5 linked regions of the Canis lupus familiaris genome follow. The protein of the gene in region 1 purifies or fractionates together with the protein of each later gene. This does not show direct contact. Links are inferred from orthologs where the notes say so. Each region holds a gene or a part of one and is shown in the gene's direction. Other genes may lie near its edges. The genes, in order: DUSP9, MAPK11, MAPK3, PGRMC1 and MAPK14.

Region 1 (6,049 bases):
CCCTGAGTCACTCCAGCGCAGGGTGGGGGTGGGGAGCTGGGGATCGGTTAATCCAACCTTTCGGGGGCAAAAAACCCTCTGCATCAGCTCACCAGGTCTTTGCTGGGGGCTGGCTGAGTGCCTTGGGCCCTGGGCGCAGCCACCATGGATCTTCCCCAAATGGGAGGACCTATGGGGCGGGGGGAGGGTGGGATGAAAACTAGCACCCCTCTTTTTTGGTCTCTGTATGTTTTCACGTTTCGCCTGATAAAATGGTCCTATTACCACGAGGCGCAGCTGCCAGCCTATGGTGATCGCGGCCAAGGCGCCTGACTTCGGAGCACCAGCAGGGCGGCCTGGCAGAGAAACGCGGGGTTCGCGCAGCAGGAGGGCCCACACACAGCCCGCTGGACGCACCTGCGCAGCCTGTTTGCGCCGTTTGGCTCCACGCTGGACCCGGAGCCCCTAAGGCCGAAGGGCGGCTGACAGCACCAGCCTGGCTCTGCGGCTCCCGGGGCCTGCCTGGCAGATGCACCTGCAAGGCCCCGGGGCCAGAGCAAAGGGGGTTTTGGGGTGAGCGTCTGCGGACGCTGGAAGGGGCAAAGGACAAGGCAGGTATGCCGGGCGCTGGCAGCAGGCCCCCCCTGGGGCTCACACATCGCGCCTCCAAAGTGCAGCAAAGCTCGTGGGGCCCTGGGAGGTCACGAGGCCCTCCCCTCTCCCCAGCTCTACAGGTGAGGAAACTGAGGCACCAGAGACCAAGCTGCCCCTCTCCTGTGGTTTCCAGGAAGTGACTCAGGGGAATTCGGCCCAGCTGCAGGCAGGAGCCGGCCTCCCTTGGCTGCCCCCTCATCCATGGCGCTGCTGGCATCCCTGCTCTGCGCGCCTCCCTCCTGATGCCATCCCGGCCTGGCGTCGCCTCGCTCTGGGCTCCCTGAGCAGAGACGCCGGAGGCCTGCCAGCAGCTGGCCCACAGCAGCCCGCAGCCTCCTGCTGCTTCTCTATCCCGTGCCCCACGTGGGGGGGCAAGTCAGCTACCACTGACCTGGGAGCCCCCTGCGCCCCCTCCCTGCCTCCTCTCCCCCACCCCACCCCCCGCAGTGAGTGAGGCCCAGAACCCAGTGCGTCCTGCTGTTGACACTGGAGGGGGGCTTCCGAACCCACTCTGGTGCTGCCACTACATCGTGCTTGACCCCAGGAAGCCACTGCTTCAGTGTCCCTAGCTCTCCGGGGCAGGGGGGGCAGTCCCCTCTGACTCCCGGACTGGTGTGGGCACAAAATGAGGTCCTTGGTGGAGATGCTCGGGGCCTCGGCTGCGGAGGACAGCGAAGTGGGCCGCCACAGTGCCCCCTCTCGGGCCCTCCCCCAATGCCCTGGCTCCACCCCTTCCAGGCACTGAGGCTCAAACGCTATTATTATTAGCCAGAATCTGATACAGGAGAATGGGAGAAGCCAGTGCAGACGGACCTGGGACTGGGGGGGGGGGGGGCAGCACTGTCAGATGGACCCTGTGTGGCAGTAGGCGGTGGCCCTGGGGGCCAAGCTGTGCCCGGTCCTCCACGGGCCCCTTGGCTGCCCTCCCGCGTGGACTCTTGGGTGCCACCCTCCCCCAGCCCAGGTCCCGCCGGGTCAGGTGTCCCCCCACTCCTGCGCCCGAGGCCCGGGCCGGGGCCGCGCGAGCATCCCTCAGGGGGCCGGGGCGGGCGGGGCGGCCAGTCTCGCAGGCGGGAGGAGGGCGGCCCGGGGCGGGGAAGGTGCAGGCCGCGCTCCCTCCGCGCTCGCTCCGCGCTCCCTCCCCGCGCGCCGCCGGCGACATCGCCCCTCCTGGGCAGGGGGCGGAGAAGACGGCGACGGGAGGGGAGGAGGCGGCGGCGGAGGCGGGCTTTGGAGTTTCCCTCCGCAGCGGCGGCGGCGGCGGCCCCTCGGCTCCAGGCGAGGCCGCCGCCTGAGGCTCCGGTGGCGCTCGGTGGCAGCGGCGGTGGCGCTTCCCGCCGCCCGGGCTTCGGAAACTTCCCGGCCGCGACGCGCGGAGCCGGCGCAGGAAGCCGAGCGGATCCGGGGTGAGCGGAGGTGAGCGGAGGTGAGCGGAGCACGCGGCTCCCCGGCGCCCACCCACCCCACCCCCACCCCGCCCGGCCGCCCCCTCCGACGTGAGCGCCTCCACCCTGCACCCCAAAGTCTTGCCAGCGCGCACCCCACGGGGCCGACGCACGCGCCCCTGCGAGCCCCACTCGATCCTGCCCCCTCACACCCCCCGCATCCCGCCCGTGCACCTCCCTGTCCTCGGCCACGCACATCCCCTGCCACTTGCACGCGCGCGCACAAACCGCGCACCGGGGACCTAGTCCTGCAGCGAACGCAGCAGCAGCCCCTGACCCACCGCCCGGCACTGCCCCCAACTCAGGCGAGCACCCATCCCAGACCCTGCCATGCCTCAGTACACACCCAGGCGCGTGCGCGCGCGCACACACACGCGATACATCCCTGCCATAGCTGCACTAACATAGCTCCCCTCGCCGTGCCACCACCATCTCCAACAACCCATATGCTCATTACAGACACCCCACCCACGTTCCCAGCCCAGAGACACTGCGATCCACCTACCCCCGAGTGAAGACCCAAAACTAACTCATGCCCCAGCAGCCGACACTCCCCGCCGCCGCAGCCAGGCCCATTCCCCAGGCGCACACCTCCTGCCTCCCCAGCGTGCACACTCGTACGCCCCAACACGTATGCACACCTGCTGGATTAACCCTCTCTGGCACCCTGCCCCAACCCCGTGGCAAATAGCCCCCAGCACCCCCCCCCCACCCAGCACATGCCCGAGTCCCTCCCACCGCCACCCCCTGACACCTGGCACTCGGGCTCTAGAGGCTGCAGCATTTGGTGGCATCCCTGCCAGGTGCCTCTGGCTCGCCTTTGGCGCCAGCAGCTCGCGTCCTGAGGCCCCCTGGGTGCCAAGCTAAAGCGATCCTGAGTCTCCCCAGCGACTGGCTTGGCCTCTTCCCTAAGAGATAGAGAAGGCACTTGGGGTGCAAGGTACCGTACTTAGCTGTGGGGTGCGGGTGGGGGGAGGCGAGGCAGGGCGAGGTGGCCCAGCTGCGGCCAAACACACGCCGCGGGTGGCCGGGCACGCACGTAGTAGGTGGGTTGGGCGAGGACAGGAGTCTGCTGCAGTGTGTGCGCCTGCATGCGCGGTGAGCGGCGGGCTGTGTGTGCGTGTGCGTGGGGGTCTGTGGGGTGGGAAAATGCGCGTGAGCCTCCGGGAGAAGCAGCACCCGCCGGGGCTCCCTCATGCAACAATTGGTTTCATTCATTCATGACTTCTTTGTTAGCGAGCATTTCTTCTGGGAGCGCCGGCCAGGCCCTGCGCGGGGGGCTGGGGCAGCCTGGGGCCGCTCCGCCTTGGAGGAACTCCCAGTCCTGCGAGGAGCCCGACCGGGAAAGGCAGAAAGCATCCGCGGCGGAAAGTGGATCTGTGGACGAGGCGCCGGATCTGCCAGGGACGCTGGCGCTGGGACTTGTGCTCCCGGCCATGTGACTGGGCCGCCACAGCCGAAACCCTGCCCGCCGCTCGGCCCGGCGGGAACCGGGCGCTTCGGGGTGAGGGGTGGCGGGGGAGGGGGCGCCGCTCCCCGGGGCTCCGGGGCACCGGAGGGCGCACGCGGCGCGCGGGGTCTGCGGCCCCCCAGGGGCGCCGGCCGGGCTGGGTGGAGGCTGGGGGGGCGCCCGGGGGGGGGTGCTGGAGGGGCCGGCTCGGGGCCCACCCTGCGGCGAGCGCGCGGCCTGCGGGCCTGGGGAGCCGGCGCGGGGCGCGGCGGGGCGGGCCCACAGGGGTGCGGGTGCGGGCGGCCGGCGGGGGTCAGGGGGTGGGGGGCTTGGCTGCGCGCAGCCCTGCACTGCGGAGGTGGCAACAGGTTCCAGTTTGTCCTGCTGCTGGCGCAGCGGGCGCTGCTGGCGCCGGGCACCGACTACTCACTTGCGAGATTGGATACTGCGCCCCCCCCCCCCCGGGGCCGCTCCCTCCCGGTTGGTGGGCTTGCCAGCGGCGGGAGCAGGGTGCAGGGGAGCCCCTCCTCGGGCGTTGGGACCCGCAGGCTCGGTACAGCCCACTCGGGGGGACTTTCTTGGAGCCAAGCTTGCTCTCCCTTCAGGGGTGCGAAAGTTGCCCCCAACCCCACCCCACCTCGCCTCACCTCCACCATCTTCCCAGCCAGGCTCCCCCCCCCCCAGCCTTACAGGGAGCCCTCTCCAGAAAGCATGCCTGGGCACCTCAGGAACCCCCAAGCTGCAGCTCTTAGGCTTTGCAGCTTCAGGGAACTGAGGCCCAGAGCGAGAGGAAGGAGAGGACAGGAAGGCTGCCTGGAGGAGGGCACCTGGGGGAGGAGGAGGGGCCGCTGCAAAAGGAGCGGAATCTGACTAGGCTGTGGAGGAGGGAGGTCTGGGCTGGGGGCAGGGGGACACAGCGGGACTCCTCCCAGAGGCCAGGCCGTGGGCCGCAGCCCCACAGGAGCCCTGGGCTGGCAGCGCAAGAGGAGGGGGACCCTGGAGGCCCCTTGGAGGGCCTGGCTCCCCGTAACCTGCCCTCTCCCTAGTGTTACTTCTCCAGTTTTCTCTTCTTATTTCCGTGGCTCAGGAGAGGAGTCTTCATCCGCGGCCCTGAACCTGGTTATCGTAAACGTTGGCCTGCCCGCGGTTTTGCGTCCTCCGCGGCTTAGTTTCCCATCTGGTGGTGCCCGTCCTGTGTGCCTGCCTTTACTCGGTTCCCTGCGGTCGATTCCCAGAAGTGGCCAGAGGGTGTAGGTGTCTTCGTAGCTCTGGACGCCTATGACCAAATGAATACCCAGAAGGGCCACACAGATAGAGAATCCTCCAGCAGCAGCAGTAGAGCAGCAGGCTGACTCTGCAGCATCGTTGGCAGCACTGAGTGTACTCATTGGGAGAACATTTTACCAATGTGACAGGTGGGGAGTGTTGCCTTGTCTCTGAAATGTGCCTGCCTGCCTTCCATACCTGAGCTGGAACCTTCCCCCAGATGTCCTGTGCCCAGGTGCACTCAGTTGCATCTCTTCCCTCATGCGGTCTTTTCTGGTTCCTTGCCCATTTATCAGAGTCTTAACCTTTTGATTAATTTGTATGAGCTTTATCTTATCTGCTCTACATTTTCCTTCAACCCGGCCGTTTGCTCTCAATGGGCTTTAAGCAGGGAAGGGACACTTATCGCACCCAGCATTATGTTGTTCTGTGTCCCTGTTTATCACGCACCTATCCGGCTAAACTGGGAGTGCGGTGCAAGCAGGGCCCCTGTGCGTCCTGCCCTGTGTGTCATCCTGTGCCCGTGGAAGGTATGGAAGCCGCTGGTGTTTAATGAACAAATGGCCTGGGGCAGGGCAGAGCGGGGTGGGGGGGTGGTTGAGGCGGACTGGCCTCCCCGGAGGCAGGGACAGGGGGCTTTGGAAGCCGCGACAGCCACCTGGCCAAGAGTTGGCCAGTGCAAGCCCTCGGCTCGCGCAGGGAGCAGACGGGAGCGTGCAGGTGTGAGAGATGCGCTGAGTACAAAGTCGCTGGCTCGTGACCAGGGAGGAGGCAGAGGGAGATGCCAGGGATGAGTCCCGGGACAGTAACGTGGCAAGAGCAGAGCACCCAAGTTTAGGGCTGGGTACTCAGAGCTCCTGGGTGCCTGGGGTCATTCACTCCTGTGCGAGGGAGGCCCTCGGGGGTCCCCAGAAGCTGTCACATGCCCTTGGGCAGAGTTCAGGGCCAGAAGACAGCAGTGGCTTTCTGCCCTTGCTTCCTCCTCCGACCGTGATCTCAGTGGCAGCCCAGGGCAGCCCAAGGTGGTGGCTGTGATGAGCCCATTGTATAGATGGGGCCGCGAGGTCCAGTCGGAGGAGATGACAGTCCAGGGCCAACGGGTGAGTGGGGCTGGAGGCAGCTCCTGGGCCGGGCCCTGGGCTCCGATCCCTCCCCGAGCCCCTCCCCCTGCCTCCAGCCCACTGGTGCGGCGAAGACCGAAGACCGGAGGCCGCTCCCCTGCTGGGCCCCTGACCTGCCCTTGGCCTCTGCCCCG
Region 2 (6,202 bases), on another chromosome or scaffold:
AACCTGGGGCCTGGCTGCCAGCCCTCCACCAGCCACTCCTGCCAGCCCCCAACTGGGCAGCCAGTGAGGACCCCTCACATTCTGGGGGGCATGCAGGCAGTGGAGGAAGGGCTGCAGGCCCAACGGGGGTTTACCCCCCCTCAGAGGGCAGGAGGTGTCCTTCTAGGGCCAGTGAGGGTAGAGACTGGGTGTGGATGTTGGGGTGGGGCAGGCCAGCCTGGAGTGGTCGCCATGACAAACTGACGATGACCCACCCTCCCGTGTCCACTTCCCCGTGTCCCTGTGGGGCAGGTGGGGGCAAGGACAGGAGGAAGCACACGGCCTCCATGACCTTTCCTGCCAAGTTGCAGAAAGCTGCCCAAGGCCCTACCCTGCTTTCAAACCAGTGACCCCTCCCCGGAATCAGGGGCCTCCATGTGAGGAGCTCAGGGGAGCTCCTGCCGGCCTACGGGTGGCCTGGGCAGTGGAGGGGACACGGAGAGGAGAGAGACCTTGGACACCAAGGGATAACAGCGAAGGAGTGGGGAGACCGGGATGGGGTCCCGAGGCCCAGGGCCGGCATCTTCCCCGCGGCTTCCCCACCGGGACCCAGCTCCCACCTGAGGCACCTGCCGCTCCCCGCTGCTCTCCGCTGCAGGCCACCAGGCCTGTCACCTGGCCGCAGCCACCTCCTGCAGCCAGTGGCCGGGATGGCATTGTGGGAAGGCCCAGCAGGGGTCCCACCGGGGTCCCTCCCATGGAGCTCTGTCCTCCGGGCAGGACGCTGGCCGGGAGGAGGGCCCTGTCGCCATGGGAACCTGGGGGCACCCCCAGCGCTAACAAAGGCCGCCCCCTCCCCGCCTTCAGCTGAAGCTGCACTGGCTCCGCACAAAACCCAGGCACCGCCCCGCGGGGCGGGGACACCGGGGTCCCAGAGGGGAAACTGAGGCCGGGGTCCTGCCAGGCTGGCCGCGGGCGGGGCTCGGCTCACGCTGCAGTCCCGATGCGCCGGGCAGTGACGTTTGCCCGGTGCTGCCCTGACAACGCTTTGCTTTAATTTGGCTGCTGGTATTTAAAGCCAGCAGATTTCACATAAAATCTCAGGGTTTGGTTTGTTTGGAAGAGGGCGTGGCTGCCATGTCCCCGGAGGTGCCAGCCCTGCCCCCGCCCTCATCGCGCGTCCGAAGGCACCTGTCACCCGGCAGTGCTGGTCACCTTTGAGGGGGAAGGAGAGGTGCGCGAGCCCAGCACCGGACAGAGGCGAGGCCGCCCTTCGGGGTGAGGGACGGGCAGCGCTGCCGAGGGGACACAGGGAACGAGCTGCGGTGATGCCCCGGAGGAGCCGCGCAGGACATGGGAAAGTCAGGGTGGGCTTCTCGCAAGAGGTGGCGGCGGAAGGGGGTTAGGAGGAGAGGAGCTGGGAACCGAAGGGGCCCGGTTGGGGGCAGCTGTTTGTGGGTACAGCACCTCAGAGGTGGCCGGGCGCTGCCGCTGTCCCTGGTCCTGAAGGGGCTGGTCCTCGGGCCGCACCAGCAGCGCCTCGCCCCCGGCGGTGCCCAGGCCAGCCCCGAGCGGGAGCCGCCGCGCAGCCACTGGAGGCCCCGGACACGGGCCACGGCGCGGGCGGGGCGGCGGGGGGGGGCCGGGCCACCCACCTGCCTGCCCCACGGCCACGTCCCACCAAGTGTTCGGGTTCCTTGGGCGGCGTTTCCTATGCAGCTGCGCAGGGGTGTCGTGCAGGGCCCGGAGCGGGGGGTGGGGGGGGCCGGTGCGCGGACCCGCGGTGCCGGCAGGGGAGGGGGCGGGGAGCTGAGGCTGCGGGCAGGGCGGTGCCCCGGCGAGCGCGCGCTGCAGCCGGAGGCTGGGGGTGCGGGGCCCGGCAGGGGGCGGGGGGGGGGTGCGGGGCCCGGGAGGGGTGCGGGAGGAAGGGTGCGGGGCGGGGGGGGAGTGTGCGGGGCCCGGGAGGGGTGCGGGAGGGGGTGCGGGGTGCGGGGCCCGGGAGGGGGCGGGGCGCAGGGGTTAGGGGTGCGGGCCCCGGATGGGGCGGGGGGCAGCCGTCCGCCCAGACACCGCCCGGCTGGGGCAGGAAGCCGCGCGTCGGGCCCCGCGCTCCCCGGCCCCGCCCCGCGCCGCCGCCTCCTCCCGCCGCCCTCCGTGCGCTCGGCTCGGGCTGCGGCTCGGGCTGGGGCTGGGGCTCGGGCTGGGGCTGGGGCTCCGGCGGGGGCGCGGGCGGGCGGGGGCAGGGGCGGGGCGGGCGGGCGGCGGCCGCTTCGGCCATGTCGGGCCCGCGCGCAGGCTTCTACCGGCAGGAGCTCAACAAGACGGTGTGGGAGGTGCCGCGGCGGCTGCAGGGGCTGCGCCCGGTGGGCTCCGGCGCCTACGGCTCGGTCTGGTAGGGGCGGCGGGCAGGGCGCGGCGGCGCGGGCGGGACCGGGGCGCGCCCCCTCCCCCCTCCCCCCTCCCCTCCTCCCTCCCTCCCTCCCTCGGCCGGCAGCGCGGCGTGGGGAGGGGCCTCGCGCGCCCCCGCCCCGGGCCATCCCGGCCGCCGCGGAGGATGGGGGCGGGGGCGGAAGGAAACTTTCCCCGGACGCGGCCCGGGGCTGCGGGGAGGGGTCGTCCCCCCCCAGCGCCCCGAGGCCCCGGTCCTGCGGCGTCACGGTCGGCGGAAGGGCGGCTCCCCGGGCCCTACACGCGTGAGAGTGCGCCTCGCCCCCAGGCAAGGGCCGGCACCCCGGGGTCTGGCAGGTGCGGTACCAGCCAGTACTTCTGTTTGCAAAAGAAAAGAACCCAACTTGGGGGGGGGGGTAGGACCCCTCCCCTTGCAATGGCCTCCAACTCCGGGGCCGGTCCTGCCCCTCCCGTTTCCCAAGGGTCTCAGACTCTGGATGGGGCCGAGGGCCCAGCAGAGATGCCTGCCGTCCCCCTCCGAGGGCCCAGCAGAGATGCCTGCCGTCTCCCCCTACCATACTTGTGGGGTCGGCCTACACCCCACTCCATTTTTGCTCTAACCAGGAGACCTCAGGCTACAGCCCGCACCTGGTCCCTGGGCCCCCGAGGACAGTCTGCAAGTGGGAGCGAGGAAGGGACTTGGCTGAGACCTGTGTAGGGTTAGGGAGGCACTGAGGGGTTTAGGGTAAGGTGCTTACGGGAACTCGGAGTGCAGTTGCAATACTGACCAGCTGAGTGTGGATGTGGATGTTGAGAGGTGCTCCCCAAAACCAGTGGGGTCCTTCCCAAGGCCTCAGCCAGATGGCTGGGGAGGTCTTAGACATGGGGAGGCCGGAGCCCCTAGGGATGGGGCATTGCTCCTGGGGGACTTCCTGACCCCTCCAGGGGCTCAGTGCTGGGGCCTGGAGCAGGGCTGCTGTCCCCCCATCTGTTGTCACTGGCCGACGTGTGGGAGGCCCCAGGCTGGCTGTCCTATGCATTCCAGCCTCGGGCCTGTCTTCATCCCTAAGACGGACCTCAAAGGCAAGAGGATCAGGACAGTGCATAGGTGGCCTCTGGGGAATATAGAGTCTTGCTGGAATCGCTTGGGTCCCTAGGGAGCATCACACTCCCCGGGGGAGCCCTGGGTCTCTCCCCACTGCCCGCACGCGCCGGTGCTCCAGTGCAGGCAATGGCCCTCGCCTGGGCTCCCGTGTTCTGTGAAGCTGTGACCCAGTGCCCATTTTTGTCACTCAGTTTGCACACACAGTTGAGCAAAGGATCTGCTGCCCCACGTGAGGGGCCACTCCCCTGCTTGTGTCCCCAGAAGGGACGTGGACCTTCCCCCAAAAGCTACAGCCTGGAGGAAGGGGCATGGAGGCCCGAGACACCTACTGGGTTTCCTGCACCCCTGCCCCGGGCCCCGTGAGCACCTCAGGTGCTGCAGGAGCCGCTCCCCATGTAGACAGCATGCACTCCTGGGGGAAGCACAATTCTAGAGGGTGCAGGTAAAGGAGAGGGAGGGAAGGGCTGAGCAGCAGTGAGGACCTGGTCCCTGTAAAGGTAGGACGCCTAGTGCGGCCCCAGGGCCAGGCCGGCAACTCTGGGAGGGCCCAGCGGTGACAGGCCGTTTGCGTGTGGAGACGATGTTTCCAGTGCAGAGTGGAGGGGTGTGGAAGCTGGTGTGCAGTGGAACTTCTGGAACTTGGGGGGTGGGGCGGGCCTAGGGGAATGTTTTGTGGGTCCAGACACCACCCTCTGCTGAATGCTTCGTATAGTCCAGTTTCTCACTCTTAGAAATAATAACGCAGTAAACGTTTTCAGCTAGCTTTTTATCCATATTTTGAATATTCAGAGGTGGGGGGGGTCCAGGGGCTCTGGAGGTAGCTCTGGAACCCGGGGGGGCCTCCACGAGTGGTGGGCCCATAGGGGAGCAGGAGGACCGTTTGGGGTGAAAGGGGATGGTTCACAATGTCTGTTTTCCTGACCTGGTTGGTGGAGTTTGTCCCCCAGCCTCATGCTGGATTGTGGGGAGAAGATCCAGATCCTGCCCCATGGGTCCCAGGCGGGGCAGGCAGGGACCTGGGATGGCTGGGATGTGTGTGGGAAGGGGGACTGGAGAGTGGGTGCCCCTTGAGGAACGAGGCACAGAGGAGAGGCTCCCCAGGTGCTGGACTCGGGCTGGCCACATGGACAGTGGTGCACCCGAGGGGCCCTCTGAAAAAGGCAGGGGCCCTGGGTGCATGGCCAGCCCCCACCCCGCCGCCTCACTCACCCACCTTGCAGCTCGGCCTACGACACACGGCTGCGCCAGAAGGTGGCGGTGAAGAAACTGTCGCGCCCCTTCCAGTCGCTGATCCACGCACGGAGAACTTACCGCGAGCTGCGCCTGCTCAAGCATCTGAAGCATGAGAATGTGAGCCTGGAGCGCCGGGGCAGGTCAGCGGGGTGGGGGTGGGGCACACACGGGGCACACAGCCCCAGGGCGCCTCGCCGAGTCCTGACGCCCGTCCCCACGCAGGTCATCGGGCTGCTGGACGTGTTCACGCCGGCCACCTCCATTGAGGACTTCAGCGAAGTGTGAGTGGCAGCTGATGCGGGGCTCGGGAGCGCATTGTGGGGGCTGCCTGCTGACCCCTGACCCCTCCCAGGTACCTGGTGACCACCCTGATGGGCGCCGACCTGAACAACATCGTCAAGTGCCAGGCGCTGAGCGACGAACACGTCCAGTTCCTGGTTTACCAGTTGCTGCGCGGCCTGAAGGTGGGCGCACGTGGGGGGTGCGGGGCGGGCCGTGCTGGCTGGCACCTGACGCTCCCACGGTCTCCCCCTCGCAGTACATCCACTCCGCGGGGATCATCCACCGGGTAGGTGCACCGCCGGAGAGGGCGGGCTTGTGCAGGCCCAGCGCCCCCCTCCTCCCGCTCACGCCCCACCTGCCCTCCAGGACCTGAAGCCCAGCAACGTGGCCGTGAACGAGGACTGCGAGCTCAGGGTGAGCCGCCCGCTGGAGAGGGCCCGCGGGCCGGTGCGGGGGTGCTTTCAGGGAGGCGCTGACGAGCCCGGGGGTCGCCCTAGATCCTGGACTTCGGGCTAGCCCGCCAGGCTGATGAGGAGATGACCGGCTACGTGGCCACGCGCTGGTACCGTGCACCTGAGATCATGCTCAACTGGATGCACTACAACCAGACGGGTGAGGCCTGCGCGGGCGGGGCAGACATGTTGCGTTAGGGCCTGGGCGGCATCTGTGTCCAGACCTGAGCCCAGGCAAGGTCCGGGGCCGTCACTTGAGCGCAGCGGGTCCCGGGCTAACTGCCCCTTGCCCAGAGTTGTATCTAGGGGAGTAAGGGCTCTGCTGGTTGGGGGCCTGGGTGTGACCAGGGTGCGGCACAGTCTGCGCGGCCCTACTTCTCGGGAGGGGGCGGGGGCGGGACTTGGGGCAGGCAAACTAACGGAGACTCCTTCCCCCACAGTGGATATCTGGTCTGTGGGCTGTATCATGGCTGAGCTGCTCCAGGGAAAGGCCCTCTTCCCAGGAAATGACTGTATCCTTGGACCAGGTTGGGGAGGGGGGTGAGCCCGGGTCCCCCTCTGCTGGGTGGAGGTGGAGCTCCGCAGAGGTGGGCACGGGCCCTTTCTGGCCGGCCTTGCCTCCTGGCCCCACACTATGCCAGCCGGGGCCCTCTGACGCCCGCTGCGGGAGGGCAGCCTGGGATCTGCGCACCGGGAGGGGCCCACTCCTGGCCGGAGGGCGTTTCCTCAGCCGGGCAGACATTGACCAACTGAAGCGGATCAT
Region 3 (6,040 bases), on another chromosome or scaffold:
TCATAAATAAATAAAAATTAAAAAAAAAAAAAAAAGACAAGTATCAATCTACGAAATAGACCAAGGAAGTACCAACCTCAGCCACTAGAGGGCAATCTGAGTCACACTCCTTCGAAAAAGACTAAAAAGCAGCTTGATGTGGCAGGCACCACTCCCGATGCACCAGCCTTTCCTCTGCCGGGAAGCTCGGTCCCGCTCAGGAAACCTGGCTCCACGCTGAACTCCGTGGTGCTTTCTCTGAGTCATTAGATTCTCCCACAGTCGCAAAATGATCTGGCAAAAGTCCCTCAAAGGCTTTTACCGCTTACTGAGTCACATCCAAACTCCCTGCCTGAATCCAAGGCCTTCCTCAATCTGGCCCCCAACCTACCTCTTCAGCCTGAACCCCTTTTAATCCTTTATACTGCAGCCACACTAGACAAATCATGCTCCTGCCTCTGTGCTGGGGCTCACGCTGCTCCTTCTCCTTGATGCCTTCCCTCTATGCCGACCTTCCAAAACCCCACTTCTTTTTCCATCGTGCAAATGTTATCTCCTCCTTAGCTCCCTCCCTGTTTCTCTAAAGGAGGGCGATCTCACCAACCCTGAGCTCACACACCATATACGACATCCATCTATCTTGTATTACAGTGATTTATGTATGTGCATCTTTTCTCTTCAATAGATTAGAAACTCCGTGGGTAGAGAGACCAGAGAGTAATCTGCCCAGGGTAACACAGCAAGTAAGTGGTAAAGATGAGATTCTAACCCAGGAAATCCAGACAGCTCTTGCTCTTACCCACTAGTTCACAACTATATAGTAATCTTTCATTAGCCACAGTGCCTACCTAGCTAGGAGTTTTGCACACAGTGCAATTCAATTGCTTATCAAATGAATAATTAAAAACAAAACAAACAAACAAACCTACCCTGAAACATTGATCTAATTAGCATCTCTTAAACCTTCACTGACTTGTAGGCTATTGGGAACCAGCTACTCAGTCTCATTAATCTGAATTAGAGTGCCTGGCTGTAGATCTAATTATGAGCAATTTCAGAATCATAATTACTGTTCCATTTGGTCTCTTGATCTGTAATGCACATAAGGATCTACTCTTAGCTTCTAAGGGATTATAAAACAAACAAACAAACAAAACCCAACGTGGTTACTTACTGAAGGCTAGGAGATGTGTTTTGTGAAGCGTCCAGCTCACAGCTTCTCTGTGAAGTGAGGGGAATGGACTGGATGGCCTCGGAGGGCCCTTTCCTGGGTTTTAACAGGCTCTGATTCTGGGAGATTGAATGGAATTGAAAAGAGCCTCTGCCTCTGTGTCAAAAGATATCATTTTAAGTCTCAACTCCCCATCCATACAATTTGATTTATCCAGTCAAAAATCTTTGAACGTCTGAGCGTCAGGTACAGGGGAGGATACAGTAATGAGCAAGACAGACATGGCCCCTGCTCATCCTGTTAAGAAAATCGGAGGACACCTATAATGTGCGGTTGTCCTATGGAAGAAACCCAGCTGGTCCAAGTATGGTGTAAACTACAAAATCTTGCATCCCATCAAAAGATGGTGATCCTGCCAGGATTCCAGTTTCACCAAGTCCAATGACAACAAAATCGTCACCTATTTTGCTGTTTTTTGAGAGAAGCCTGATAGTGTATTTTAACCAAACCTGGTCAACACTGCAGGCAGCTTTCCCGCCCTTCTGTTGCAGTTCCACCTAAATGGGCTGAGGTTATGGGTGCTCACTTCCAGCACTGTACTGTCGCTGGCAAGAGGCCAAGCCCCTAGTCCACTCTCGCAGGCCTGTCAGAAACCCATTAGGCTGAGTCTGGACCTGCGGGTTCTCGGTGGCTCCAAGTCACCAGCCTCGGCCCCTCATCTGTGAAAGGCAGGCCGTATCTGCGAAGAAGCCATCTCCCACGCTACTGGGAAATGCGGATGCGGCCGTGTGTCGTCGGGCCGAGCCTCGCTCGGAGGCCACACTCCAGAGGGCTGGGGAGGGCCCCCTTGGGGCTCCATCTCGAGCCCCGGGCCGCGACTCGGTTGGCAGCAGAGCTGGCGGGGCCAGGCGACTCGGTCCCGGCCCCAGCTCCCGCACCCGCTTGCTGGGTGGCTCCGGGAAGGTCACCTGGCGGCCCTGCCGGCTATAGCCTGCATTCGGCGGGAGGGGTGCACCGTCTCCCGGCCGCCGCGCTCGTCCCTACGGGCTGCCAGCAGCAGACGGAGCGGCCGGGCACCGGGGACCCGGGCAGCAGCCGAGGGCGCCCGGGAGCGCGCGGGGGTCACGTGGGGCGCGCGGGGGCGCGCGGGGGCGCGCGGGGGCGGGGCCTGGCGCACGCGGCTCAGCCGGCGGCGGGGCGCGGGGCGCGGGGCGCGGGGCGGGCGGGAAGGGGCGGGGCCTCGGGCGGGGCCGCCGGGGGGAGGCGGGGAGGCGGGAGGGGAGGAGTGGAGATGGCGGCGGCGGCGGCGGCTCAGGGGGGCGGGGGCGGGGAGCCCCGGGGAGCCGATGGGGTCGGCCCGGGGGTCTCGGGGGAGGTGGAGGTGGTGAAGGGGCAGCCGTTCGACGTGGGCCCGCGCTACACGGAGCTGCACTACATCGGCGAGGGCGCGTACGGCATGGTCAGGTGAGGGGGCGTTCCGGAGGAGGGGGCTCGTGGGGGGGCGCGCGCGAGGGTGAGTGCCCTCGGGCCGGGGCGCTCCCAGGGTCCCGAGGAGGCGGGGGCTTCACGAGGCCGGCGGGGCGTCCCACGGCGCGGCCCTGGGGTGCTCTGGGGGAGCGGCGCCGCCTACGTTCTAAGGGGAGGGGGCTTGGGAGGCCTCAGGAGCGACCATTCTGTAGTGAAGGGAGGGGCATCGGAGTGTCCGCGGGGGAGCCGTGGGGGGACCCTGGGGACTCTGTGGACGCGGGAGGAGGCGGAGACACGAAGTATTCTTGGGGAGGTGATATCAGTGAGGACCGAGTGAAGGACCCTACTCTGGGGAAAGGATGCCTTGGATTCTCCCAGTGAGGCCTGCCAAGGAGCTGGGGAGAGCAGAGCTCAGGGCTGGGCAGGGTGGGGCAGGGCTTTGGGCCTGGGGCCAGGAGCCCGGTGACCCATGAGGGGTCCAGGGGTGCGTTCTTGCAACTTTTAGAAGGGGTCTGTTAGCTCTCTCGTCCCCACTGTGTGCTCTGGGCCTTTGTTCATCTGGGAACAGCTCTCCTGCCCAGGTGCCTGACCCTAACACCTCATCCCTTCTTTCCCATCCCTCCTGACCGCCTCCTTCTCACTGTGCCTCACTGTGCGTCCTGCACTCACCTCCCACTCCCTGGACCTGTCTTGGGTTGAAGGAGCCCAGCCTGGAGAGGGGAGGATGAGAGGTCAGGGCAACTAGAATGGACAGGGCTGAGGAGAGGGGAAGTCAGTGAACGGTCAGTCTCTTCCTCTGTTTGTGAAGTCACCGAAGGGCTGCCTGGCTGGTCCCCAGCTTTCTCCCTGGAGATCCCAGGCCTTCACAGCAGGAAGGAACCAGCATTGTTTATGACTTGGCCAGAGTCCTCTCATGCTCCCTCCCCTCCCTGCTCAGGCCTGGGTAGGGCCACCAGGCCTGGACTCCCCCTATGTAAGGCCACACCAACAACATCTCTCTGACCCTCTCAGCTCAGCTTACGACCACGTGCGCAAGGTTCGCGTGGCCATCAAGAAAATCAGCCCCTTTGAGCATCAGACCTACTGCCAGCGCACACTGAGGGAGATCCAGATCTTGCTGCGCTTCCGCCATGAGAACGTCATTGGCATTCGGGACATTCTGCGGGCGCCCACCCTGGACGCCATGAGGGATGTGTATCCTTCACCTTGGCCAGATGGCTGGCTAGGCATAGCCTCAGAGCCGGGCTGGGAGAACGTTGGCTTTCTTTCTGTTTCCTTCTTTCCTGCCACACTCCAAAACAAACCCAGCAAATGAAACTTTCCAGCAGAAAAGAGACCACAGAGTGTAAGAGGACTGGGAGGCCTGAGGTGAATCCTGGCCTGCTGTAACCAGGCTGTGTGGCCTTGGGCAAGTCTGTGCTCCATGCTGTGCCTCATTTGGGGGGAGGGTGAGAGTTGGGCTCTATGGGAGCTTTGTCTTTTGACATCTGCATTTCTGTGACGTGACCCAGCCTCTGCCCACAGACAGTTCTTGTTTAACAGATGATGATTCTTTCCTCTCTGGGTCTGCAGACTGGAAGGAAGGCAGGAAGGAAGAAAACTGCCCGTTCTGAAGGGCCTACTATGAGTGAGGTGCAGTGCACGCCAAATGCTTTGACACTTCTTATTCTACCTCCCAGCTGCTGTATGAGATGGGTCTCATCAGCTCCATTTCAAAGATGAGAAAACTGAGGCTCAGAAAGCCCCAAATCAGGTGCTGCTGTTGCTGCCTCCTAACCTCCCCCAGATGAGAACTGTCCTTTCTCTGACATTTCCTGCTCAGAGCCTCACCCCAGTCACCTGTGGACTTGCACTTCGCCCAGGGAGGGACAGCCTTGTCTTTGTTGCCCTCCCCCCCCCACATTGCTTCCCTAGCTTGTCGTCCACTTCCTGTCAGGCCCTGTTGTTAGCAGCTTATAGCACCCATCACCTCTCCCCACCCTACCCACCCCCAGCCAGTCCCAGTTCTCCACCCAAATGTGGGGATTTGTGCTGCACTGTCTGCAGCCCCCACCACAAGCTGTGGGCAGGAAATCTCCACACTCGCCACTAGCTTGCTGTGTGACCTTAAGCAAGTCACTGCATCTTGCTGGGCCTCCTCACCTCTCAAACAGCATAATCGGCCCAGGTGTCTTCAGAAGGCTCTTTCAAGGCTGATTCTAAAAGACAGCCCTGACTTATTCTTTCAGAGAGCAACCAAATGGCATTTATTTATTTATTTATTTATTTACTTAACGTATGTTTAATCTTTGTTTTCTCTTAAAATACCAAAGGACATTTACTCTTCCATCTTCTGATGTATGGCCAGGCACTCTTTGAGGAGGAGCATGCTGTTGGGAGTTTCTCCTCATTTGTCTTGCCCAAACCATTCCCCATAAGGCAGGCATTTATTTTTAAGCAAACATTTATTGCATGCCAGATGGTGTTCACACTATCTCATTTAACCCTCTCAACAGCCATGTGGCTTAGGCATTTATCATAGCAACACTAGTTCATGTTTGCTGAGCACTTACAACATGCTAGGCTCTGGACTGGGCCGGCTGGTTTCCATGGGTCACCTCACTGAGTCTTCATAACTGCTTTCCAAAGAGCCACTCTCTCTCCCCTGCTTTCCACATGAGGAAATGGAGGTGCAGATGGGTTGAGGTCATGAGGCCAATGAGCAGTGGAGTGGGGGTTTGGCCACCAGCAAAACAAGTCCAGAGTGGTTGCTCTTAACCGTGAAGCTTTCCTGCTTCCTGCAGTTTATCATCCCTGCTTTTCCCAATAAGGAAACAGAGGCCACGGAATGGAAGTACTTTTGTTCAGGGGGTGCCAGCCGAGAATGCAGCAAGAGGCCCTGAGCCCAACTGCTGAGCTTGGGCCTTGTCCAGCTCATGATATGGGTTGAGTCTTAGGGACACTAGCTGGAAGGGGATAGGAAGCCTAGCTGCCAAAGTCTGTTCTTCTTAACCAAGCGCCTCCCGCTACCCCCACCTGGGGGGGCTCTTGTGCCATCCTCAGCTACATCGTGCAGGACCTGATGGAGACAGACCTATACAAGTTGCTCAAAAGCCAGCAGCTGAGCAACGACCATGTTTGCTACTTCCTCTACCAGATCCTGCGAGGTCTCAAGTATATCCACTCAGCCAATGTGCTCCACCGGGATTTAAAGCCCTCTAACCTGCTCATCAACACCACCTGCGACCTTAAGGTCAGAGGCTTGGGTGCCTGTCCCCTTGTCCCATGGGTCTGGGGCTTCCAGGTGACCAGTAGACCCCTTGAGTAAACCATCACAAGCAAAGGGAACAGCGTGGGCAGAGGCAGGGTGATATGACCACGTGGGCCTTGGGCCTTGAGCACTGAGCTTAGCAGCCTTGGTTGGCTTCCAGATCTGCGATTTTG
Region 4 (5,030 bases), about 31 Mb from region 1:
CCACCTTCAAGTTTTGGGTCCCAACTGGACAGAAGTGTAGCTTTCAGGTCTAGAGGCAGGTTTTTACTTTGAAAACACAATTCAACTAACATCGTCCCTGATTTTTTTTTTTATTTGTATCCAAAGGATGCCTTTGTAAACAGAGGTTCTTTTATGTGGAGCTGCCGAGTTGTAATTTCTGACTTAACAAAGCTCAATCTTCTAGGGCTTGCCTTCACCAGGGAGGTAAAAACCATAAAAACTTTCTCCCCCTTAAACTAATAAGACCAGGCCCATATTCTGTGTTGACACTTGAGCTCCACTCGAGACTGGTGTGGACTCTCCTTCAAGCAGGTTTCTTGGGCGCCACCCAGCTTTTGTCTTGCACAGTCCTGAGCACCCTAGGGACCTTCATAACATGTTCAAATAGGGAAGTTCCTATTGTTTCCAGTGATTATTTCACACAAAAGCAGGCCTGGCTACCTGGTTAGACAGGTTGGTTACTCCTCTAATTTCTACCCATATGCAGAAAGAGGAGACTCTCAGCCCTCTAGGCCTCTGACATTGATAAGATTAACCCTGTGTTAGCTGGGCCACAAGAGAACAGCCAGTGTGGTGGTTGGTGGTCTGTTGACTCTATCCCCTCTCTCCTTTTTAAAAAAATTTTTATTGAAATTCAGTTTAAGTAATCTATACTGTATTCTTAGTTTCAGAGGTAGAGTTTAGTGATTTCTTGAGTTGCATACAATGCCCAGTGCTCATTCCATCACGTGCCCACCTTAATGCCCATCACCCAGTTTAACCCTAACCCCATCCCCCCATCCCCTCCAGCGACCCTCAGTTCTCTATAGTTAAGAGTCTCTTATGGTTTTCCTCCCTCTCTGTTTTCATCTTTATTTTTCCCTCCCTTCCCCTATGGTTCATCTGCTTTGTTCCTTAAACTCCACGAGTGACATCATATGGTATTTGTCTTTCTCTGACTGAGTTAATCTTGCTTAGCATCATACACTCTAGCTCCATCCACATCACTGCAAATGGCAAGATTTCATTCTTTTTGGTGGCTGAGTTTCTGGTTTGCAGTCTTAAGTCTGTTTTCTCCAACATCTCCAGTGCTCTCCTGCCTCCTTAATCACTTTCTTTAACTGCCCTGCACAGCTTTTTTCCTGGGGTGGAGAAAACATTCAGTCTCCTGCTTTCGTTCATCCACTAGACTCCTCATCCCTTCACCACCAACCATCTGAGAAGTGCTTGTCCCCAACCACTACTTCATTTCCTCCCCATACTTCCTTACTCTCTGAGACAGTTTGCTGCCCCACAATTCCACTGAACTTTTCTTTCTCAGAGGTTTCCAGGAACCTGCTTCTTGCCAATATTAACTTCACTTTTCCAGCCCTTGTGGACTTCCTGTTGCGTGCCCCCCACCCACCCACAGAGGGGCTCCCTCTCCAGAGCTCTCAGTTTGGTTCATGGAAGCTCCAGGCTTAACTTCATCAACTCACGTTTCCATTTTCCTTTAAAGTAGCTCATATCCTAGCCTTTCTGTTCCCATGGACACCCTACTCCTGGCTCTTGTTCCTTCACACACAGATCTACCCACTGCCCCCCCACCCCGCCCCGGGCAGCCTGCGCCTGGTCTCCTGGCTCTAATCCGCCTGATATGCCACCACCATCCCATGTTGGCCAAAGCACTGGTTTCCTGTGTCGTTCTTTTGTCACACACTTTTGCCACCTATAGGATTAGGTCCAAATGCTTCAGGTTGGCTTTCCACAACCTTCGTAATATTTACCCACACTGCTTAGCCATCTGCACTCCCACTGTTGCTGTCAGCTTGGTCTCTCTATGGCTCTCCAGATCTGTTACATCTCCCCTGCATGCCTTTTTGTACACTGCAATTCCATTTTCTGGAAACCCCTCTCGTCTCAGATCCTTCCGTGCATTTCCCAAAGCATTGCCTTCTTTGGGAGGGTGTTCTAGAATCCTCACTCACAGCTCATGAGCCCTTGCTCTTCTCACCCCCTCCTGTCCACAAATACGACTCCCTGGGACCTTCCCAGTGCCCGACATCACTACCTGTTCTGTATTTCTCCTGAATGAAACTCTTAATTCCCCATTGGCAAGGACTGTGCTGTATGTCCTCTGTGATTGACAACTTCGAGAAGCCCAGCACATTGCAGCACAGGCGGTAGGCCTCTACCGAATGCTTTCCAATGAAATGTAGCGGTTCTCTGTAAAGCGTGAGAGTGCTCATTTGTGTTTTCTTCTCTCCCTCCAGTCAAGTATCATCATGTGGGCAAACTGCTGAAGGAGGGGGAGGAGCCCACTGTGTACTCTGATGAGGAAGAAGCAAAAGATGAGAATGCTCGGAAAAATGATTAAAGCACCCAGTGGAAGCATATCTATTTTTGTATTTTGCAGAATCATTTGTAACATTCCAGTCTGTCTTTAAAACATGGTGATTTCGATATTTAGAGAAGTTTCGAACTTGCTGTAAGTTTTTGTAATTAACATCACTAGTGACACTGATATAATTAACCTCTGTCTCCAAGTGCATGACGTGTTTGTGTGTCACAGACCCAGACCGTGAACTGCAGTGCCGTAATCCAAATGTTGGCACTCTCCTTCTGTCTGTAGTTAGTGCAGGCTGCCTTTAGTTTTTCCTGAGAGAGACAGGTAAGACTTGGGTATTTCCCCCAAACAGGTAAAAATGTTAAATGGGAAAAGTCCTTCTAGTCCCGAAAAAAAGGATCCCCTTCTGGTCCTGATGTCCTCAAGAGTGCAAAGCCCTTCCTCCTCAATTGACTTAACTGCATGATTTCTGTTTTATCTACCTCTAAAGCAAATCTGCAGTGTTCCAAAGCCTGCCTTGGTATTGACTAAAGAGAGCTGCCCAGGAAAAAAGAAAGAAATCTTAAAGCTGGGCTTGGTTGAGAAAAATACATTCACTGTGTTTCTAGACTGCATCATTCTTTTTGTCCTCCTCTGGACACTTAGAAGCCCCCACTAACACAGCAATGTATAATAAGGCTCTAAAAACACCATCTGAATGTTCAAAAGAAAGCTTCGGAAGAAATCTACTGGCTTCCCGAAAAACCTAAATATACAAAGAAAATGTAGAACTATTTCCCCAATCCCCATGTTCACAGTGGGACAGTGTTGATTTCACACAGTTTTTGCCGTGAGAGGGATTATGGTGAACAGAAGCAGGCGTTTGCCCTCTGGAGAGCCTACACATACACCGCACAACACACGCCCCTGAGGAATGAAGAAAGTACACATTACTAGCCAAATGGTTTTTAACGTATATTTCTTAAGGTAACAGTTATTCTTCCCTTGTTACAAAACCATAGCCACTGCAAGAGTAGTAGGGCAAGAGTCAAGGTCTTTGATATTGGTCTTTTGGTTAACAATAAACTTAGCTTAAGTAGACTGTACAGTTGTATGAATTTGTAAAAGTATTATATGAACAACTAGTGAGGTTTCAAACTCTTGTAACTGTAGTTGAATAGTTCTTGTATTTTCTTGTGAACCGTGTTTAATGGTTTTACCTCAAATCAGAAAACAAAATGAAGTGCTTTGGTCAGTTAATAAAATGGTTTTACCCAGTATAGTGTGGTGGGTTTTTAAACCTTTTAAGGTTTCTTAAACCTTAACCTAAGAAACCAGATTCAATCATTTTACTTTAGCTTAATGCTCAGCTCCCCTTTTGGGGGGGTGTGTGTGCGCATGCATGAGTGTGTGTGTGTGTGTGTGTGTGTGTGTGTGTGTATTCCAGTAAAGGAGCAAAACTGCAGAGGCCTCACACCGAAAACCAAATACCAGCTTGTCCTGTTAAATAGTGAATTGAGGGGTGCCTGCGTGGCTCAGTAGGTTTAGCATCTCCCTTTGGCTCAAGTCATGATCTCGGAGTTCTGTGTCTAGGCTCCCTGCTCAGGGAGGGTCTGCTTCTCCCTCTGCCCCTCTCTCCCCACTCATGTACTCTTTCAAATATATAAAATCTTTTTTAAAAAACCAGTGAAATGAGATTAGCTAGCCTGCCCTAATGAAAATGCAAAAACCAACATTGTTTTTTAAATTAGTAAATTTATTTTTTGTGACTTGTCAAATTCTGCCTCTAAACTCAGAGGCACCTCTGCCTTGAGGTCCAGAGCAAGGTTATTACGGGGTAGCTTTACTAAGGGCATAAAAAGTGCCAAGGCAGCGTTGGTTCTGTTTTCAGATATCATCTGATCAGGAAAGTATTCAGGAATTCTTCTATCCTAGCAAAATCAATTCACCTCTTGTCAAAAGATCAAATTTGCATATGCAGTTCATTGTGTAAACACGTCTTTCTCTGAATATTGATGTTTTGTCATTTTAACATTCAAGTTGGCAGAGTCTTATTACAAGGGAAGTATTCTGACCTGAAAGCTTGCAGCTTTCCAGTTTTTCTGTTTCCAAACCATTGCCTGTTTCTGTTGTTTTTAAATGAGCCTATCCCCCCAACTTGCTTTCATTCAACTGATATCTGAGTTGCCCATTTTGTGCCAAACACCCTGTTATACCGTGTGCTTTGGGGAAGGGGGTGGGAGGGAGAAAAGTTGGGCCACCTTGCACCCTGAAATCCCATTTAGACCGAAGTGAAGATCAGGCTACTCCTTCCGAGTTAAATGGGTTTGTCTGATGCCAAGAGGAAATCGTCCAGAGCCTGGCTAAAGCTTCGATCTCTAACCCAATTCCCCGCCATTCCGAATGAAATCAACATTATATTGATTACATGTAAAAGGCTATTACTATAAGGCAGGACTCTGGTCTAAAAACTTCTCAAATCCAGCTAGCATATTCCAAAACCACATTATATAAAAGGTGCCATTCAAGATGGGCGTGGTGGTTACAGGCTCCTGGCCAGCAGGGGAGGTGTCAGGTGAACCCCACAGGTTTGTGCCCCTGCTTTTACCCAGCCCCCAGCTGAGGTGCTGTGTGTGTCCTCAGGACTCGGAACTCTAGCTCCTAAGCTGTTTTCTGTACCTCCAGATCTGTGGCTTCTCTGCATAAGGATACATCCACCTTAACC
Region 5 (6,199 bases), on another chromosome or scaffold:
CATGTTTGTTGAAAGAGTGACTGAATGTACTGTTTAGTTCATTTTTACCCTTTCAGTCACTCCCACTTCACTATCCCAATTTGGTGGATAATCATGAATTCCTTAGGTTCATTCCTACTGCCGAGTTTCCTCCCTTGTATCCATCCACTCATCACCTTGATTGCCCACTCCCACCCGCCATTTCTTTCCAATCACATTTTTGCTTCTCGCCTCTTCCTTCAACCTTCATTACTTCTTGGAGGGCTCCCTAAACTGCAGGTAGCCTTGGAACATTTTCAAGCAGCATGTCTTCATAGGCGAGAGAATCCAGACTAAGCCACATCGGATCCTCCAAGAAAAGCTTTCCAGGAATGACCCATGACTCTGGTTTTTATTTTTGTTTTTCCTTGAGGAGAACTGAGGATCCTGCACTCTCTCCTAAGTTGAGATCATGGTCATTATTCATAATTTGTTCAATAAATATTTATGGGGTACCTATTATATTCTAGGCACTGTGCTAGGTGCTGGGACAAGATATGCAAAATCTGAGCATTCTAAAGGATGCACGACACGAAAGAGAATAATCACGGGAAGGGTTGAGAGGTGTCCTGGCTTGGACCCAGTTACTTCTAAGAGACATTGTAACAAACTTTAACAAAGGAATAAGTTGGTTACAGTGGCTGTAGGCATGGTTATATAGTATCTTGCTCACTCACACTTACTATCTTGTTCAGCTTTACAGGTAACCCTATTAGGCGCGGATGTAAGGCAGGAATTACTTTTGCAGAAGCTGGAACTAGAGTCTAAGAGAGGTCAATAGACTTGCCTAATAGGACACCCTCTGCCTTGCTCTCCTTAACCTGAGGCAAGAATCAAGCTTCAGAGCAGGATTCAGTTTCAAACCCTCAGAAGTACTCTTTTCAAAAATCCTTCTCCAAGGGGGATGCGGGAGACTTTCCTGAATCAGAACTGCCTGGAGCATATTATAAAAATGCGCGTTCTTGGCGCCTATCACCGACCTATCCACTTAGACTCCCTGTGGGTCCTGGGACTTGGCTTTTTTTTTTTTTTTTTTTTTTTAACACTCCAAGTGTTCTTTTGCACATAAACGTTTAAAGACCGTTAGGAGAGTTTGGGTGGAAAACCTCAGACTTAACGTAGAGCTAATACTTGCTTTCGGGATAGGGTCCGTCACAGTTCCGAAGATTAAGCCGTATGTCCCCGAACATGGAATAACGGCTTTCTGGCTGGAACCTTCCTTTTCCAAATGTAAGTATTTCTTGGAAGTTGGAGGTTCTGCTGAGCAGATGCTCGGCTGCTGGTGACTACCGGCAGTTCAAAGATCTTTTGGCTCTTTTCCCGACACCCTATTAGTCGCCGTCGCCTCCCGCCACGGAGCCGGGCGTTTGCCCCGCCGACCACGGTGGGGCGCACGCGGCATACGTTGCCTGCCTGTCCCTCCCTTTCCCGGGTCCGCCTTCGCGCCCTTAAGAGCAGTCCCCGAGAGTTCCTGCCTCTGGTCTCCAGCTGTTGCCCTTTTCTCGCGAGAAGTGCTCCTCCCATCCTCTCCGGTAGTCCACCCCCTCCCGTGGGCAGGTTCCATATTGGGTAAAATCTCGGCTCGCGGAGAGTCCCGGGAGCTGGTCTCGCGAGAGTACGGCTAGCGACTCCTGTTCGCTGGCTCTGGAACGGCGATCACTGGAACTTGAGCGGGCGCTGCAGCTGGAGCCGCAGTTCCGCGGCGCAGCCCGGGGTCGGCCTGGTCGGGGAGAGGGTGCAGGGAGAGCGTGGTGGGCGCAGCCCTGAGCCCCGCAGCCTGCCCCTGCCCTTCACCGGGCTCGCCCGGCAGCTGCGGCTGACAGGGGCCGCGCGCGCGGGAGTCGGCGGGGTCGCGTCTGCCGCACCTGCGCCGACTGCCAGCTCCGGGTCCCCGCCCGGCCCGGCGGGCAACGAGGGCCCGGGAGCGGGAGCGGGAGCGGGTGCGGGTGCGGGCGCAGGCGGGGCCCCTCAGGGCCACCTCCTAGCCCCGCGGCCGCCGCTGGAAGATGTCTCAGGAGAGGCCCACGTTCTACCGGCAGGAGCTGAATAAGACAATCTGGGAGGTGCCCGAGCGTTACCAGAACCTGTCCCCGGTGGGCTCCGGCGCCTACGGCTCCGTGTGGTGAGTGTCACCGGGCTTGGGTCTGCGGCGGGCTTGGTGGCCTCAGCACCCCAGAACCAGGCCTGCCCACACAGCTCAGCGATGCACCAAGCGGTAGGAATTTTCTCTGGGGGAGGGCATCGTTGCCCATTCGACCCCTGTGCTGCACGCCCGGGACCCCCTTGCACCCCTCACTCTGCACCCCCAGGGAGGCGGTCGGCTGTGTGCAGGATGCAGGTCCACGGTGGGCGGTGGTGCTGGAGCTCGGCCCTGCCTCGCACCCTGCGCAATCCCTTCTGGGGGGGTGGCTGCTCGGGGGAGGGGGGCTGGCACAGAGGCCGGGGCGTCTCTCCGGGGGTGGGGGGTGTCTCCCTGCCAGCCTCGAGCCGAAGGAGCCTCTCCGGAGGTGCAGCCACTCTGGGCGCGCGGGAGCCTGCCCTCCAAGCAGACAAGCCCGGGGGGGCTGCAGGGAGAAGCAGAAGGGCCAAGCTCTACGGGAGACTGCGAGCGTCGGAACAAAACTGACGACCAAGGGCTTTCTGCCCTGGCTTTTTTTTTTTTTTTTTTTTGCAGACCTCTTTCGAAATCTCATTTCGAGAGGCATTCTTTTCGAATTCGCACTTGCATTAGCAGCGACCCAAAGAACCGAAAATACCGACTTTATCTCGGCCAGCCTAGTGCCAGCTTGAGTTGTGTGTTTCCGATTCTGTTGAAAGCGTATTTCCTTTTCGCTGAGTGGGGGTGGGTGGTAGTGCCTGCAAGAACACTGCAGCTTGAGAAACTGGCGGCTTCACTGATTAGTCACATACCACTGCTCATTTAAGTATTGTTTGGCAAAAACAGTTTTTTCACTTGGAGCAAGTGAGATTCAGATCCGTTGGACGCGCTCAAGATCAAAGAATCATGAGCAATCTGGGGAGGTATTGTAAGTATTTCTTAATTGCAGTACATCTTGTGAATATTGTGTTTTTAAACTTCTTTAGAGAGTTCGCAGGGAACTGATCTACATTTGTAGCCTGAGGTACACGATGGTTTTCATAAGGATAGGGAATATATAGCAAAGGAAGGGAGAGACACTTCTCAGCTTTAATTCACACTGTGTTTTAAATTAAATCGATCCAATAAAATTCTTGGATCTAAAATATTTCACTAGTTTAGGTATTACACACCATATTTTAGAGTTACTGTAACTTGAGAGCTGCTGATCTGAAACTAATTCCTGTATTCATGTGAATCATTTGAAAAGGGCTCCATAAGATTTTGGGAGGGTGGGGGTGGGGGTGAGGGAAACGAATTCCAGACTTTTGGATGTGTTAATCTTTATAATTCTTGTGTTTCTTAAAGTCACATCATGAATTTCCTGTTTGCTAGAATCTTCTGGGTAATTGAGATTGTGCAATTGTGTCAAGCAACAGATCATATTGCATTTTCTAGTTCAAGCTGCGTGAGTTCATCTTGCTGATGGTCCCGTGCTTGACATCTTTTCCTCATTTTTATAATATGGCAGTTTACGTTTTAAGGGAATTTGCAACATTTTACTGTATCCATCTATATGTGTGATTGATTTGCAAATTTTCAGAGATATATTTGGATCATGGCTCCTTTAATAGCTTATTATTTTACCACTCTTTTTCATTCTGTTATGTCATAATTGACATTAATTTTCGTAGTACCAAGTTTCTGTTTCCAATGATGTTTAAACTTTAATGAAATGATACAGCAGAATAGCTCAACTATGGGGAGTTTAGTGGACCTGAAAACAACTGCTTGCAAGGTCTTCCTACTGTTGGTATGAATAGCTCTGTCCTGGAACTGCAGATTCAGATTTAGAGTGAAGTATCATAAAAATGACCTTTACATTTCCTTAGTACTATACTTTTTTGGCTTACAGAAGCCAGAAATATCTGACACTTGGAAGTGATTTTGTTAAACATATTTTAAAAAATATGTATAGAATTATATACACATTGTATAAAATTCAAAAGGCGTAAAAGGATATTTAACGAAAGGTATCCTTTCCTTTCTTGTTCTCCAACTGTGCTATTCCTTTCCTCTGAGACAGCCCCTGTTAAGTTTCTTATGTGTCTTTACAAGGAGGCAGAGCCCATTCATTTGTTTTTAGTAGTATTTCTGTTGAGGGATTTAAAGTGTGACATATGGTATATTGGTGGAAGAGAATGCATCTTATGTGTGTCAGTTGACTATGGCAAATATAATTGATTTTGGATTGAAAATATCAGAATTTAGATATACATAAGTAAGTGGCATCTCATTCAGAATTATTTGAAGTTATTCTTTCAGTTCTTTCAGATTCTTAGCAGTGTTTTGGGTGTTGCAGCAAACTTTTTTTTTTTTTTTTTTTTTAATTTCTCTTACAGCATTCTGGAGCCTGTGTTATTTTTCACTGCCATCATCCTTTAAGAACAGATTTGATTTTAGGGAATAAGAAAATCAAGCTGAATTCAAATAATTTAGAGAATTTGTACTCAAGTCTGGCGAGAAAGATTAGGCATTCAGGTTGGTCTTGTTTTAGGTCAAATAGGAGTTATAACTATAAAGTAATGACAGAATTTCTTGTGTGACTTGTAGAACTGGATCTGAAGTCTGTTCCGAAAAAGAATCTCTGAAAGCATTTTAAGGAATGCAACCTCACGCAAATATCTGTCAGTTTCCTAATTTGATTGCTCCTAAGTGTGATATACTTTGATGTATATTAAAAGTTTTTTATGTTAAGCCTATTTTCTCATTTTAATTTTCACTAAGTCTACAGTAAAAAGGCAAGCAGCAGCCTGTATGCTATGAATCCAAGATCAAGGAATCAGACTAGAAATTGAAAATTGATAAGGTTTTATTTTTTTAATTTTTCAATTTTTTAAAAAATTGATAAGGTTTTATAATATACCTTTCCTTTTTAAAAGGTAAAGGGAACTAAATAAGTCTTGCAGTTTTAAGGAACTTTGTTGCATTGTCTGTGAGGGGAAATGAAGCAAAATTGTTTAAGAATACTTTGTTGCAAAGCATTGATTTTCTGGTTTTGGGACAGAAGGAGGGACTCTTTGTGGTGAGTTTAAGGAAATATAAACAGGAACTTAAATGCCTTTCCTCTGGGTATGGTTTTTCCAGACCCTTGCTGTTGATTAGAGGAGGTGGGGCCCTGGTAGCCATAAAATAGGTAGCCATAAAATAAAAAATACTCTTAAGTCATAGTCCTTTGTTGATTCAACAACACTGAATACCAGCTACGGACTAGATAATGGGCTAGGTTTCATGAGATAGAGTGCTGAGCAAGACAGTGAGATAATCCATTCCCTCGTCAAGCTAAGTCTAATGTGAATAAAAAAACTACATTTTATGGATTGCTTACTGTTCTAGGCATTTTACTGTGTAGTTTATATTTATCACGAGTGTATTTAGCCTATGCAAGATTTTTTAGTGAGAGGATGGCAAAACTTACTAAGAAATCAAATCCAGCTTCCTAAATGCTCTGTGGAATAAGACTGTATATACATGAATATAATAAACAAAGCTAAGGTTTAGTGTTAATAGCCATTCACTGTTTTAAATCTTTTATTCTTTTCTTTTAGGATGAGCCAGGGCACAGATAAATGAAAATACATCATTATTGACTATGCAAAGATGACTTTCTTGACTCCTAATCAGTAAGAGGGGCCTGCCCTTTACTTTTCTGGTGACGATAGTAGGCCCTTACTGAACTTTCTTCCCATTTGCTTTTCTTTGTAACCGAAAGCAAGATGGTTCACTGCATGTTGCCAGTACCAACAACAAATAGATATTTAAAGATAATTGCAAATATTTATGTTATTGATATATAAACATAAAGAATTAAAAAAAATAATTCAGTCAAATTTGTTATAAAGTAATTTTTCTAATTGAATCCCATTTTGATGGATTCTGATGCTTTTCTCTGGCTCCCATTTTAAAATGAGGGTATCCTGAACCTCTGGCTTTTCAGTTCTGCCAGCTTAATTTCTTGATATTGAAGAGTACTCTGTTTTTGATTTCTCTCTAACTCAGCCTCAGAGATGATGTGTGTGTTGACTTTGCCTTTCATGGGCAATG

The links.
Region 2: the proteins of DUSP9 (region 1) and MAPK11 purify together in Homo sapiens (affinity purification with mass spectrometry; 4 studies listed by BioGRID and IntAct, with this or other methods). This does not show direct contact. The link is inferred for Canis lupus familiaris from reciprocal best matches to the Homo sapiens genes DUSP9 and MAPK11.
Region 3: the proteins of DUSP9 (region 1) and MAPK3 purify together in Homo sapiens (affinity purification with mass spectrometry; 4 studies listed by BioGRID and IntAct, with this or other methods). This does not show direct contact. The link is inferred for Canis lupus familiaris from reciprocal best matches to the Homo sapiens genes DUSP9 and MAPK3.
Region 4: the proteins of DUSP9 (region 1) and PGRMC1 purify together in Homo sapiens (affinity purification with mass spectrometry; 3 studies listed by BioGRID). This does not show direct contact. The link is inferred for Canis lupus familiaris from reciprocal best matches to the Homo sapiens genes DUSP9 and PGRMC1.
Region 5: the proteins of DUSP9 (region 1) and MAPK14 purify together in Homo sapiens (affinity purification with mass spectrometry; 8 studies listed by BioGRID and IntAct, counting the BioPlex papers as one, with this or other methods). This does not show direct contact. The link is inferred for Canis lupus familiaris from reciprocal best matches to the Homo sapiens genes DUSP9 and MAPK14.

The regions. Positions count from the first base shown.
Region 1 is NC_049260.1:122,650,708-122,656,756, forward strand, and holds the start of DUSP9 (dual specificity protein phosphatase 9), read left to right. Parts: upstream 1-1,904; 5' UTR 1,905-2,059; intron 2,060-2,881; 5' UTR 2,882-3,018; intron 3,019-3,314; exon of another isoform or gene 3,315-3,582; intron 3,583-4,615; exon of another isoform or gene 4,616-4,943; intron 4,944-6,049. UniProt on the Homo sapiens protein: Inactivates MAP kinases. Has a specificity for the ERK family.
Region 2 is NC_049231.1:17,882,976-17,889,177, forward strand, and holds the start of MAPK11 (mitogen-activated protein kinase 11), read left to right. Parts: upstream 1-2,238; 5' UTR 2,239-2,255; coding exon 2,256-2,371; intron 2,372-4,692; coding exon 4,693-4,822; intron 4,823-4,927; coding exon 4,928-4,986; intron 4,987-5,057; coding exon 5,058-5,169; intron 5,170-5,243; coding exon 5,244-5,273; intron 5,274-5,353; coding exon 5,354-5,401; intron 5,402-5,484; coding exon 5,485-5,599; intron 5,600-5,879; coding exon 5,880-5,951; intron 5,952-6,177; coding exon 6,178-6,202. UniProt on the Homo sapiens protein: Serine/threonine kinase which acts as an essential component of the MAP kinase signal transduction pathway.
Region 3 is NC_049227.1:18,277,990-18,284,029, reverse strand, and holds the start of MAPK3 (mitogen-activated protein kinase 3), read left to right. Parts: upstream 1-2,427; 5' UTR 2,428-2,441; coding exon 2,442-2,614; intron 2,615-3,628; coding exon 3,629-3,811; intron 3,812-5,659; coding exon 5,660-5,849; intron 5,850-6,027; coding exon 6,028-6,040.
Region 4 is NC_049260.1:92,015,121-92,020,150, forward strand, and holds the end of PGRMC1 (membrane-associated progesterone receptor component 1), read left to right. Parts: intron 1-2,252; coding exon 2,253-2,356; 3' UTR 2,357-3,585; downstream 3,586-5,030. UniProt on the Homo sapiens protein: Component of a progesterone-binding protein complex. Binds progesterone. Has many reported cellular functions (heme homeostasis, interaction with CYPs). Required for the maintenance of uterine histoarchitecture and normal female reproductive lifespan.
Region 5 is NC_049233.1:5,325,731-5,331,929, forward strand, and holds the start of MAPK14 (mitogen-activated protein kinase 14), read left to right. Parts: upstream 1-2,024; coding exon 2,025-2,140; intron 2,141-6,199. Other genes in the region: SLC26A8 (testis anion transporter 1), read right to left, coding at 1,154-1,208. UniProt on the Homo sapiens protein: Serine/threonine kinase which acts as an essential component of the MAP kinase signal transduction pathway.